Arabidopsis thaliana: one gene and its partner. The protein of the gene in region 1 purifies or fractionates together with the protein of each later gene. This does not show direct contact. Each region holds a gene or a part of one and is shown on either strand. Other genes may lie near its edges.

Evidence for each region.
Region 2: the proteins of AtRZ-1c (region 1) and VRN1 fractionate together in Arabidopsis thaliana (co-fractionation; one large-scale study listed by BioGRID). This does not show direct contact.

Annotation. Positions count from the first base shown.
Region 1 is NC_003076.8:1,190,429-1,196,259, forward strand, and holds AtRZ-1c (RNA-binding (RRM/RBD/RNP motifs) family protein with retrovirus zinc finger-like domain-containing protein), read left to right. Parts: upstream 1-1,830; 5' UTR 1,831-1,920; intron 1,921-2,022; 5' UTR 2,023-2,032; coding exon 2,033-2,143; exon of another isoform or gene 2,144-4,066; coding exon 4,067-4,605; intron 4,606-4,702; coding exon 4,703-4,985; 3' UTR 4,986-5,331; downstream 5,332-5,831. Other genes in the region: KTF1 (kow domain-containing transcription factor 1), read left to right, coding at 5,641-5,831.
Region 2 is NC_003074.8:6,547,352-6,553,593, forward strand, and holds VRN1 (AP2/B3-like transcriptional factor family protein), read right to left. Parts: upstream 4,684-6,242; 5' UTR 4,218-4,683; coding exon 4,158-4,217; intron 2,977-4,157; coding exon 2,529-2,976; intron 2,433-2,528; coding exon 2,364-2,432; intron 2,265-2,363; coding exon 2,065-2,264; intron 1,975-2,064; coding exon 1,736-1,974; coding exon of another isoform or gene 1,726-1,735; exon of another isoform or gene 1,414-1,725; intron 1,304-1,413; coding exon 1,201-1,303; 3' UTR 1,142-1,200; intron 1,059-1,141; 3' UTR 776-1,058; downstream 1-775. Other genes in the region: ETP1 (EIN2 targeting protein1), read left to right, coding at 1-410. UniProt on the Arabidopsis thaliana protein: Essential protein. Involved in the regulation of vernalization. Acts as a transcriptional repressor of FLC, a major target of the vernalization pathway. Binds DNA in vitro in a non-sequence-specific manner.

The DNA of each region.
Region 1 (5,831 bases):
TAAAGAAGCCTTGAGATATAACGAAAATGTTGGCTTTCACTTGTGACTGTAATTTTTATTCCAAACTCTTAACTATGAAATTACGTTCAAATGTATTTACGATAACTGCCTGGTCATATACATAATCAAATCAAGTTTTTAACATGTGGTTCGTGCACCACTAGTTTTCTAAAAGGTTAGGATATTAGAACATACGTCTTGAAACCCTAGCATCTATAATTCTTTGTAACCATATATTCAAAATTTATAGATACTCAAAAATTTCCTAAAAGTATTAAAATTTGTCAATAGTAAAAAGCTTCGCACACAATTATTTTGTTTGGGAAGATGAGTTATCTACCCATATCATGGCAGACAACCTGGTACCTTTGCCTCTGTCCACATTATCATAGATTATATATATTTTTGGTTTTATATTCCATTTCTCTGTATTTTATACTTTAGAATCTTATTTACACAAATTTAGTATATGATTTTTTTTTGTATCTTTAGATGTAACTTTTTGATGACATTAAATAGATGGTATATTAGGTCAAATAATCAAAGTGTAACAGTATATACTATTATAGATCTATGTCATATATGACCTATTTAATTTGTTGGAATCTCTCGAAATGTACAAAATAATATTGGTTAGGTTTAAAAATGTTTAAGCACCAACTGGATCATTATATTAAATTAATAATCCAAGTGGTATTAATTACAATTAAACTTTCTTATATGCATTTCTTATAAAACTTTCCCTCGAATCTTGAGAGTCATTTTAGTAATTCGAAAGGAAACTTAGTTTAACAAATTTTCCTATAAAGAAAAACAAAACCGATTTCCTTGTACATTTGCGGATGACTATTTCTACAATTACAGTTTATGAATTCGTTCATAAAGCCTTTTGGCCATACAAATTTTGTATACCTCCAAATTTTAAGCCATATTTAACCATCTTGCTTAAGTAATGACCGTAAAGTCAAGTACATATCTGTCCACATGGGAACATGGATGCTTCTAAGCTAGTAATTATCCACATGATGTTGCAAAGGCACCGTTTTATACATAATGCCACACATGTAAAGCCCGGAATAATATGTGATATCTTAAACCATCACATACCTCCCTAAGATTTGTATGGAAATATATAAAAATTATTATGCTACAAAAATTCATTCGTCTTGTAATGAAAAGTAAAATTGTTTAAACGTACGTTTTAGAAAAAAAAGAAGAAGAGAGAAATTGTGCTATTTACATTACTGTTTTTTTTATTTGCATTAGAAATTTTGTTACTAGGTGCAAATACACTTAAAAATGAAGAATGTGTACCAGGATAGTCGGAGTTCTGTCTTAGGATGATAAATATACAAATCCTATAGGTTGTTTTGCTCCAAAACTGTGGGCTGGTTAAAGTTAGTTTATTAGCTAGGTAATGCGTGATTAGGTCATCTACACATAGTGACTTGGATCTCACGTGGAATAAAGCTTCTGATATCTTATTTTATTGTAAAGCTAAACAATATATATTGATCAGCTAAAACATATTCGATGTAATTTTTATATGCATGTTCAAATTTTCAAGTAAAAATTGGCAAGAGATCTTATTGGGAAAAACCCTCAACTACAATTATAATTGTTTTTTTTTTTGCCTCATTACAAGCTTAAAGGATGTATTTATAGTATACAGAAAAAAGAAAAGACTTATTTTTCTGGTCGGTCATTGGTGGATCCATGAGCTTAACAGAATAAACTTATGACTTGGGCCCATAGAGAAATTTGGGCCTAGGTCTGGGCCTCTGTTGTTAATCATCAGAGCCTTTAGGCACTTGTAGTGTACCTTTCTCGTGGCGTAGTACCTCAACCACCACCATTTTAGGGTTTCTTCGTGCCATTGATATTTTGAGAGGCGAAGGAAACAATACGATTCAGAGAGAGGTAAGATGAATCTATTCGTGTAATTCTAGAATTAATATCGAGTTTAGTCGTTGGAGATTTTTTTGTTCGTTTACCTCAATTTGTTTTGTTTTCTGTGAATAGACGAGTGAAAATGGCTGCAAAAGAAGGTAGTAGGATTTTTGTCGGTGGTTTATCGCCGGAAGTGACAGATAGAGACCTTGAAAGAGCTTTTAGCCGCTTCGGAGACATTCTCGATTGTCAGGTACCAATTTGAAATTTTTGTTCTATGTTTTGTTCTTCTCTGTGTAGGTTGGTACTATTTTTATTCCTTGAGTTTATCATAGCTTGTGCCTGCACTAGTCCTATGAAATTTAGAGATTGTTATCTAAAGCTTTGTGATAAGAATTGAACATGTCTATGAATATTTTTGGAATGTTTTAAGTTGAAAGTGGTATATTTGCTTGAGCTGATCGTGAAAACATATACTTGAAAAAATGAGATTACACTAATAATACAGAAATACAGAGACGTTTGAGGATTAGTTGAAAAGTCTTGCTTTGCATTATTCCTCTTTTCACTTATTGATCTTCCCTTTTTTCTTTTTTTTCCTGGATGCTGGTAATGTATCACTGAAACACTATAGATTGATGAATTAGGGATGATATTGATCAGAGCTACATGGTTCAAGTTGAGAAACTACTCTGTGATAAAGAATTAAACTGCCTGAGATTTTAGGATATACAGTAGTGTTTGAGTTTCTGAGCAAATTGATTTCCACACTTTTGGAATGTGTTTCACAAGGTTGGGACTGTCGTAACTGGTTACTTCAGTTTCTTCTATCATCAAGGAAATTCTTTATTTTGCTCTGGAGGGATGACTGTTTTTTCGTAACTCATGATTGAGATGTGTAATTCTTGAGTTCTCTAAGTATGCCGTGACTGGGTTTTGGTTTACTTCCTGATAATGTTCCTTGTTACTGCTCTTACTAGTAATTAAATGTTTGTTTGCTGGCCTGGGATACCTGATTTGGTTTTGAGTGGTCAATTCGAGATGCTACCCAGTTTAGGCCAGAGTCTCAGTTCTTCTTCAGGTGGTGAAGATATTTAGGAACTCCTTGCAGTAGTTACGTTGTGTAGTCATATTTCTGGATAATCCCAGTCTACATTCAGTTGTCTTGCCGCAAGATTTCGTTTTCTCCTCATACCCTGAGCATCAGTGCAAGCAGTTTGGATTCTTCAGCGTAGTATGAACCTGCAGAACGGAAAATTACACTCAGTTGAAGCAGAGATCTCAAGGTTTCGGTGATCCTTTTCTTATCCAGATTTCCTACTTGTCTTTCTTGTGGGCTGTTTGCTTTACCTCATCTCGCTTCTCCTGCCATGTGTGGCTAGTAGGAGTTACATGGATTTGATCTTTTCCTTTCTCTGTTCTTCTTTTTCAGTCTTACAAATTTCCTAATTTTCTAATGCAAGCCAATTAAAATGATTCTTGTGCCTGGGCCACACATTTTCTATATCCACCAACCCCAGTTCTCTGTGCTTATCTTTTCCGGAAGTTTCTGAAACCTGATAAAGCTCTTTGTGTGAGAGGAATTCTGTATTTCTGATCTGTGGGTTGTGGTGCTATGTAAAGAATCGTCAGCTCCAGTGAATCTGAATGACTTCAGCTGGATCAATGTCAGATGATATCTGCATATTGAGTAGAAACAGATGTTTGATCAGTAATTTTGAGTACAGCTAATTAACTGACTTCCTTCTCTGTAAACCTTCCTCTCTTTAGTTTTGCAACTACATCACATGGCTGTTGAGAATAGGGATGAACTAGTATACTATCTAAGGGCTTAAATTGAGGAATTTTTCATTTTGAACTGAGAAAAAGTTGTTAGTGCTTTCTGCTACCTCTGCTTGAGATTGGAGACTTACTTTAAAGTTGATTCAGTTTCTGGGGATCTGTACTGTGTTTTGCTCTGAAGTTGAGGTTGATTGACTATTTACTACACAAAGCAGGGTCACAGTGTTATGCAGTGAACCTTAAAACGGTTGGGTGTTTCTTGATGTCACATGGGCTTGATATGATCTTTCAGATTTTGCAATCGTTTCATTTTACTACTGCCCTTCTGCTCACTTTTAGCTACACGTATGCATATATCTTTGGGAAATCAGCTTTTATGGTGTATTGTGTATAGATCATGCTGGAAAGAGATACTGGTCGTTCACGTGGATTCGGGTTTATCACTTTTGCTGATCGCCGCGCTATGGATGAGTCCATCAGAGAGATGCATGGAAGGGACTTTGGTGATCGGGTCATCTCAGTGAACAGAGCTGAACCAAAACTGGGGCGAGATGATGGAGAAAGTCATGGCTCTAGAGGTGGCAGAGACAGTGGCTACTCGATTGCTGGAAAAGGAAGCTTTGGTGGAGGTGGAGGTGGAGGTGGGCGTGTTGGTGAAGATGAATGCTTCAAGTGTGGACGGGTTGGGCACTGGGCCCGTGATTGTCCTTCTGCTGGTGGTGGTCGTGGAGGACCTGTTGGTGGTTTTTCTTCACGTGCTAGTGCGTATGGAGGATCTGATGGACGTGTTGACCGCTATGCTGACCGTGACCGCTATGTGGACCGCGAACGATACATAGATGATCGATACGACGGTGCTGCACGCTATGGTGCTAGAGACAGGTTTGACAGCAGAGAAGCCTACATACCCCGTGATCGATACGCCAGTGACAGGTTAGAATCAAGTTTCTAATGCAACTCAGATTATTGTAAGGTTATCAAAGTGACTTGCTTTTCTTACATAACTTTATTCTTATCTGTGATTTTACAGGTATGCAGCCCCGGCTGATCGGTTTGCAGGTGGTGATAGATACAGCCGTGGATCAGACCGTTATCCTCCAGGGAGCTATGACAAAGCTCGGTCCTTTGAGAGAGACATAGCCCCGAGTGCAGGCAGTGACAGGTACGGTGGTGGTAGAGCTGGTGGTCCCATCCGTGGAGGAGGAGAGGAGGGAAGAGGGTTTAGAAGCAGAGCCGGTGCTCCTTATGAGAGACCGAGCAGAAGTGGTGGTGGTGGAGCTTATCCGTCGTCGTCCACTTTTGACCGTTATTAAGACACATTAATGAAAGAAAGTGAGAATGATGCTTGGTTAGAGCTCTATACACTCAGTCGTGTGTGTTGCTTGTGGTAATGAATATCTCTGTAAGCGTTATAGGTGTAAAAGACTTGTCTTTTTTATTTATATATGATTAGTTTGCGGACCTGTTTAGCTTTGTATTTTGATCCTTTATTATTTTTGGTTTGTTTTGGACCATAACATGACTTTTGAGCTTCGTCAGTCAATGTTAAACCTTGCACACATAACTAGCCTTTTTAGTTTCATCATCAATGTACAAGAGACGAGTGTCTTAGGCATCCGCATGTTATTCTAAAATTTTGATTTATTGTTTTGTATACTGTACATATTGCTTCATATTGTCAAAATTTTCGTTTTTTCCTATAAGTTCAATCTATTACCAAATAGGCAAATAAAACGAAGCAGAATATTATTGTAGAGACAAAAGAAAAGTTGAGAAATTAATTAAAACAATAAAGAGTCCAAATCGATTGGATAATAAAAAGGCCTTAAAAGAGTAAAGAGTAAAAAAAAAAGCCACTCAAAAGTCGGAAAACAATCACATCTATAAACGTTTTCTTCACTCTCTCTGCTACTTGTCTCTCAAAAGAAATGCAATTGTGAAAGCCCTAAACTAACCGTGAAGAAGACGATGGATCGCAAGGGAAAGGGTAAACAGGTCGCCGGTAGTGATTCGTATTCCGGCGGACAGAAAAGGAAAAACTCCGTCGAATTCAGAGATGAAGGTTTGAGGATTAAGAAGCGCAAAAACCCTGAGGTTCTTCAGTTCTTCGAAGAATCAGCTGAAGTTGGCTACTACGGAGGCAGCTCCGACGAAGATGA
Region 2 (6,242 bases), on another chromosome or scaffold:
ATTTTGAATCTAAGACTGAGATATGGGTGACGAATAAGATTGATGACACCACCACCAAAGGAGCAGCAGTCTCTTGGACCAAGGTCCTAGCATTTGATTTAAGCCCTGATCTTCAATTATTTTCGGAGGAGGTAAATTTTTTGCTTGACGAGGATAAGAAAGTCGCTGTGTGTTGTGAGAGATGGTTGGAACCGCAAGAGCACCACAGGTACCAGTGCAGGAGAGAGTACAAGATCACCGACAAGATATACATTCTCGGGGAGGATAATAAAGTCGATGAAGTAGGTTCTGGAGAGGGAGAGGCTACAGATTCACTTGAAGGAATTTCGCAAGTTATTCTCAATTACGCTCCAAGTTTGGTCCAAATCGAGCAAGCCGGAGGAGGCAAAACAAAAAGAGGTGACGACTAAAACAACCTCTACATGTAATATTAGTTTTTTGTGTTTTTCTTAATTTATTTTTGTCATATTTTTTGAATAATCCCCTGATCGAGCGACCTGGAAGTAGAAGAGGCCCTTAAATTTTCTTGTTCATGTTCTTTGAATAATCCTTTGAACTGATATCTCAATAAGATTGTAATATTGTAGTTGTCCCTTGCTTGATTTACACACGGTTTTCTTTTTTTTTTAAGTTTTATGATCAAAACATGTCTGGTACAGTATATGTCTAGAGAACAAGTGTTGTGTCTAAAACTTCAACCATTTCTAATTCAATGACAAAAGTAACTCATGTTCGAAGCTCCGAGTTTCTTTTTCACCTAAGTTTCAAGTTGTACAAACAACTAGAAGTCATTATTACCCATTCGCATAAATCTAGCATATATTGGACCAAAACATAACCCACAAATTATTTAAAACCACAGCTAAGCTTGTGGTTTTTTTGGGGCATCCAAAGTTGAAACATATCAAATGTTTACTCATGATACTACACTCCTTGATTGTCGTTTAACCTAGTGTTATGCAAATATAAACGCACGCATATCAGCAAGAGATCCATAGAGTTTACTGCAGGGATTTTGACCAGCACTGCATCTTCCTCTCGTTTCAATTATGCATCCCCTGACATCAGCATGACAATCTAACAGTCAACCACAATTTAGTGGTGATCACATGGTTAAGCATGTGCCAATTACGTACCGTACCTTGTAGCTGTAAGAGCGGGTGCCTGCACCTTGGGAATCTGGATGTTTTCTTATGTAATCTACTGCTTCACCTCTGTATGTCTGCTACCACAGTTCCCACCTACAATCTTATATATGCATTTTCCTTCAATACTCCCATTTTCACCAGTATCCTCAAGCAAACTGCATGAAGAGGGTTTCCAATTATCTCAGAGGTGATCAAACAACAACTTCATCAAATTCTAGACGTTGGCTTGAAGGCTATTCTTAAGTTTGTTATCTCAAGTTCCCTCCTTGTATTCCACCAGAACAGTTTGTCTTTCTACTCAAATTTGATGGAGATTAGGTATTTACAGACTTCTTCTTAAACCCTAACTTTGTTTGTTCTACTCAAACAATTTGAGTTCCACTCAAGAGGTTATATATAATGAGGTAAAAACAACTTATCCACATCGATAACACAAAGTAAACCCGAGAGAAAAAACGAGACACTGACGCAATAATGACACAGACCAGAAGAGAGTTTTTTAGTTGTTTTTAAATTAAGATACTCCTACACGACATTGTACTTGCAAATCCAGAATGATCACACCATAATGCTTTGTTCAGACGTACTCGTTGACTCGAAAGGCTGTCACTTTCAAAACGAAATCTCTGGTTCTGAGCAGCTCAAACACACAGACGTCTCCTTCTCCTAAGTTGTTCTCTAGAGTGAATTCGTACCATCCTTGACTGAATTTGGCTCTCCCGGCTTTGTAGAGACATCGAACAGGCCATTGTTTCTCCGCAAGCTGGACTTTGATGAACCCGGAGATCCCACTTAGGTACTTCTCAGCAAACCCAGAAGGAAGATACTGTTGAGAGAAACAGAAACAGAAGGCTTCTTTTAGAGATCAGTGAAGACACCGATAAGATTAAGTCTTCCTAAGATGTTTTTTTATTACCATGATGCAACCTCTGTATAGATAGGATGGTCGCAGAACCACTCTGAAGAAAGGGTTTGTTGGTTCGAACGTTTTGGCTGCATTGATGGCTCTCTCTCTTTCTTCTGCAGTCACGGTTCTCTTTCTCGCAGAAGCACTCTCGTAGAACTTTGAACGGTTCTCTGGATCATCATCTCGCGGAGCTGATGAGTTTATTTCCTCTGTAAGGACAATATCAAAAGGATATATGTATCATGAGGAAGAATCTGTGAATCCTCTGAAAACGAGTCTGAAGCATTTCAAAGAGGAAAAGTGCTTACCAGGATCAGCATTTTTCTTCTTCCTCCCTCTCTTTTTAGGTATTTTTGGGGTTGGCGTTGGCTCTTCAGCTGGAGATAAGGAAAATATCAAGCATCAACCTCAAAAGAATGATAAGACGCGTAATCAGCGATAGATAAAGGGAATCAGTTGGTTATAAATATCACCTTTAACTGGTCCAGTGAACAAGGTTTGGATGGCTGAACTAGCATACCCTTTGTTGGCTGGTACTGTAGACTCAGGAAGTGGTGATGGGTACACAGAAGAAGGAAAGATGACCTCGGCATCTTCATCTTCAAGGTCTTCAAACAAACGGGCGCGTTTGAAGTGGTTGTGAGCGGAATCCATGAGACCGGTGGAATGGTAATTGATCTCAGAGTGGGATAAATTGAAAATGTAGACGCTGAAGGCAGAGTTTCCTTCATATCTAAAAATCAAAAGATAACCAATGCGAATGGAGTAACGGTCAACAAACTCTTGCCAACCATCTTGAAACCAAATTTTGTTGTCAGCTTTCCTTAGTCCTACACGCCAAACATGACCATCAGGTACTGTGAGTGCAACAGCAACCGAAAGCTCATCCTTGAATTTACTCACAAACTTATCTGGGACCCTCTGCACAAGCATGCCGGTATGAGATATAAAGAAGCATATAATGATATAAATGTCCACAATATCTATAAGAACAGCACAGAATATTGCGAGAACATCAAATCGAAACAGACATTTTTCAGCAAAAACATCCAATAAACACAGTAGCTGAAGAAACGACGGCTTTACCTAATTTAAAAACACAAACCAAAAGGCCATATTTCAGTTTAGAGAAGGCATCAACAAGGAGACACAGTCCATTAGTACACATGTAAAATGGTACATTTATCTCTGAATAGATTGATTACACGACTCCTATGATCTTATCACATTAATAATTTGCAAACTTGGTTCCACATAAATGCCTGTGTTAATCGAAATCATTATTCCAGAGAAAATCTAGTCACTTAAATGCCAAATGGAGAGCTAAGCAAATTTGGATTTGTTCAAAACAATGCTCTTGGGGGAATCTGTACAAGTGATGACTAATCACTGTATCAAATAAAGTAGACAACTTTAAAACATAAGCACAATACATAGAGACCTTCAAAACAAGTCAACTACTCAGTTTTAGGGATTCACTCACAAGCCACACAATACTCAATAAGGAGTCTAAGATCTCAGACATTCCTAAGTCAAACAGAGAAAACAGTCAAAATAGAGTAAACAAAACAGACATTTATAATAGAGAAACCATAAACAGATCTCAACTTTTTCTCCTCAGAAGAAATTTGATCAATCTGACAGAATCAAATCGTCCTCCAAAAGTCAAATCACTCAAAAAAAAAAAAAAAATTCCCAAACTACACACAATATGCTGTCAGAGTACAGATATACCATCAAATACCCAATTTCCCACCAAACACAACCAATGACCAAAAGAAACTGTCTTGCAGACTTCCATTGGAAACCCACAAATTCTCATTTGACCAATAAGACAACACAAAGTTCAAAAATGGAACTTCTTTTCATTACCCAAAACAGGGAAGAGTAAGAAGATAAAAGCACAACCTTGACTCGATTCTTACAAAGAATCAATACAAGTGAATTGTAAGAAATCAAGCAAGAGTGTCACAAGGCATAATCTTACAAACTCGTTCACCAGATTCCAAACCTTGAAAACCCTCAATTTCGCACAAAATCAAAACTTTGAAAGATGAGGAGAAGGAGAACAGAGAGAGAGAGAGAGAGAGAGAGTAAGTTACCAGACGTTTTTCTTGGATAGTGGATGAGAAAATCAACTTATGGAAGAAAGGGCGTGGCATGTTCAGACACAACAGTGACGAAGTAAGAAAAAATAGAAGAAGAAGAAGAAGAAGAGAAGACCAGAGAGTCAGATCATGAAACGACGACGGAGAATAAAAGGACAAAGAGACTAAGAGAGAAGAAGAACCCTTTCAGATCTGAAGGAGTTTTGTTGTGTTAAAAAAGTTCATTAGATTTTAGTCAAAGGGGTTACAACACAACAATCTCTCTTTTCTTTCTTTCTTTTTTACACACCTGACCTGAAGAGTGACCCAACCAAACCCAAGAAGATGAAAAAATTAAAAAAAAAAAAAAAAAACCAACTTGTCATAAAACGAAGCTCGAGCGAGTTGAATCTGTGTTAGCTCGGTAGACTCGTTGAGTCGAATCGGTAGGTCACTCGTGTGGTTTCTTTTATTAACTAATCAAAAGCCGACCGCCCCCACCTACTCCCCTTTTTCGACCATCTTTTTTTTTCTTAACAAATATTTCTTTTTTGTAACACGCAATATCTCAGAAAATATATTATTGCCTTATAACAACAAATATATTTGATACTGTTATATATACGTCCTTATTTGCAAACAGATCATACCGTTCCGGAAAATCTCAATTTTATTTAGAACATATAAAAACACTTGTAAACTAGTGTACCGTGAAGCCTATAGACAAATATAGGTGGAAAGGAAAACAAAACTGGTCTCCAAAAGAAAAGTCTTATCATAAACTCATGCCCACAGTATTAATGGTATGTATATACTTAGAGAATGACAAGTTAAAACATGTATAGAGAAATCCAAATACAACATGTATAATCGATTGCAACATGTACGTATATTCATGGCTACCTCACATGCATAAAGTTTTATGTATTTCTTGTATAAATCTAGCTACAGTTAATAGTTATACTTAAGAATAAATAGCCTATGCATACACACTTAAATCCAAAAAGAAGTTTAACCTCTCTAATGTATGTTTAGTATACTATTATTTCTCCTTAGAATATTGGAACTTGACTTGTAGTTAATTAGTTTGGGCTAACCGTTGGCCATCATTGGTCATAACATTATGTTTAAATGGATTCCAATTTATAGTCAGAGAGCCTTGGTTCTGTCTTCTGACAGTATCCTTATGAGCTGTAAGAAAATAAAGGGGTAAACGTAAACATTCCTCTTTTCACCAGTTCGCGTGCATTTTAGAAATTCTTGATGCCTAATTAAAAATTACAAAGCAACAAACTCGCTGATTTTTAAAAATAGAATCCAAAAGTAGATCCAATATCGCATGCATGTCCAAAAGCATTTTATTCAAGCATAATGAAGGAAATTGCATCGTAATTCATACATAAATTATTCAACGGTATGAAAATGTAGATAGAATCATAGAAAAGCAAAACATGTGTGTATATATGTATCACAGTAGAAAAAATAATTTGAATAATCAAGCTCTGAAGTGATTAATATGAATGTAACGTATCGTCAATTTGAAGTTTGTTGAAACACATTAGCTAGTATTCTTTGTATCTAAGCAGGTTTTGTCGGTTTATAAACTTCCTCTAATGGCTTAATCTTGGCTTCTTGTGACGGGCTGAAGAAGAATGATATTGAAAATCTCATTTGAATAACTCATTAACTTGTATGTTTACCACCACTCTGTGCTTGTGTATTCGTGGGTTAAGTTGGTGTTTTAGAAGATTTGTTAAATCTTTGAACCGTGGCAAGTTGAAGGCAATCACGTGATTTGTTTGGATGTATATTTTGTCTTTTGACAACGCATTTATCAACTTTTCAGATCGGTTTATTATTTAGGATTAACAAATGTAAAACACTGATATATATACACTAATGATAAATATTTGATGAGAATTTTTCTTAAATCCCAATTCGAATTTTAAACATGTGAAATTAAGAACTATCGCATTTATCAACATTAGGTCAGTCTACGTATATTTGGAAATGAAAAATGACGAAGATCGCAAATGACACAACATTCTGATGACCGTTTATTTTAAACATAAACATGTAAAATCTCGCGTGCATTTTGGG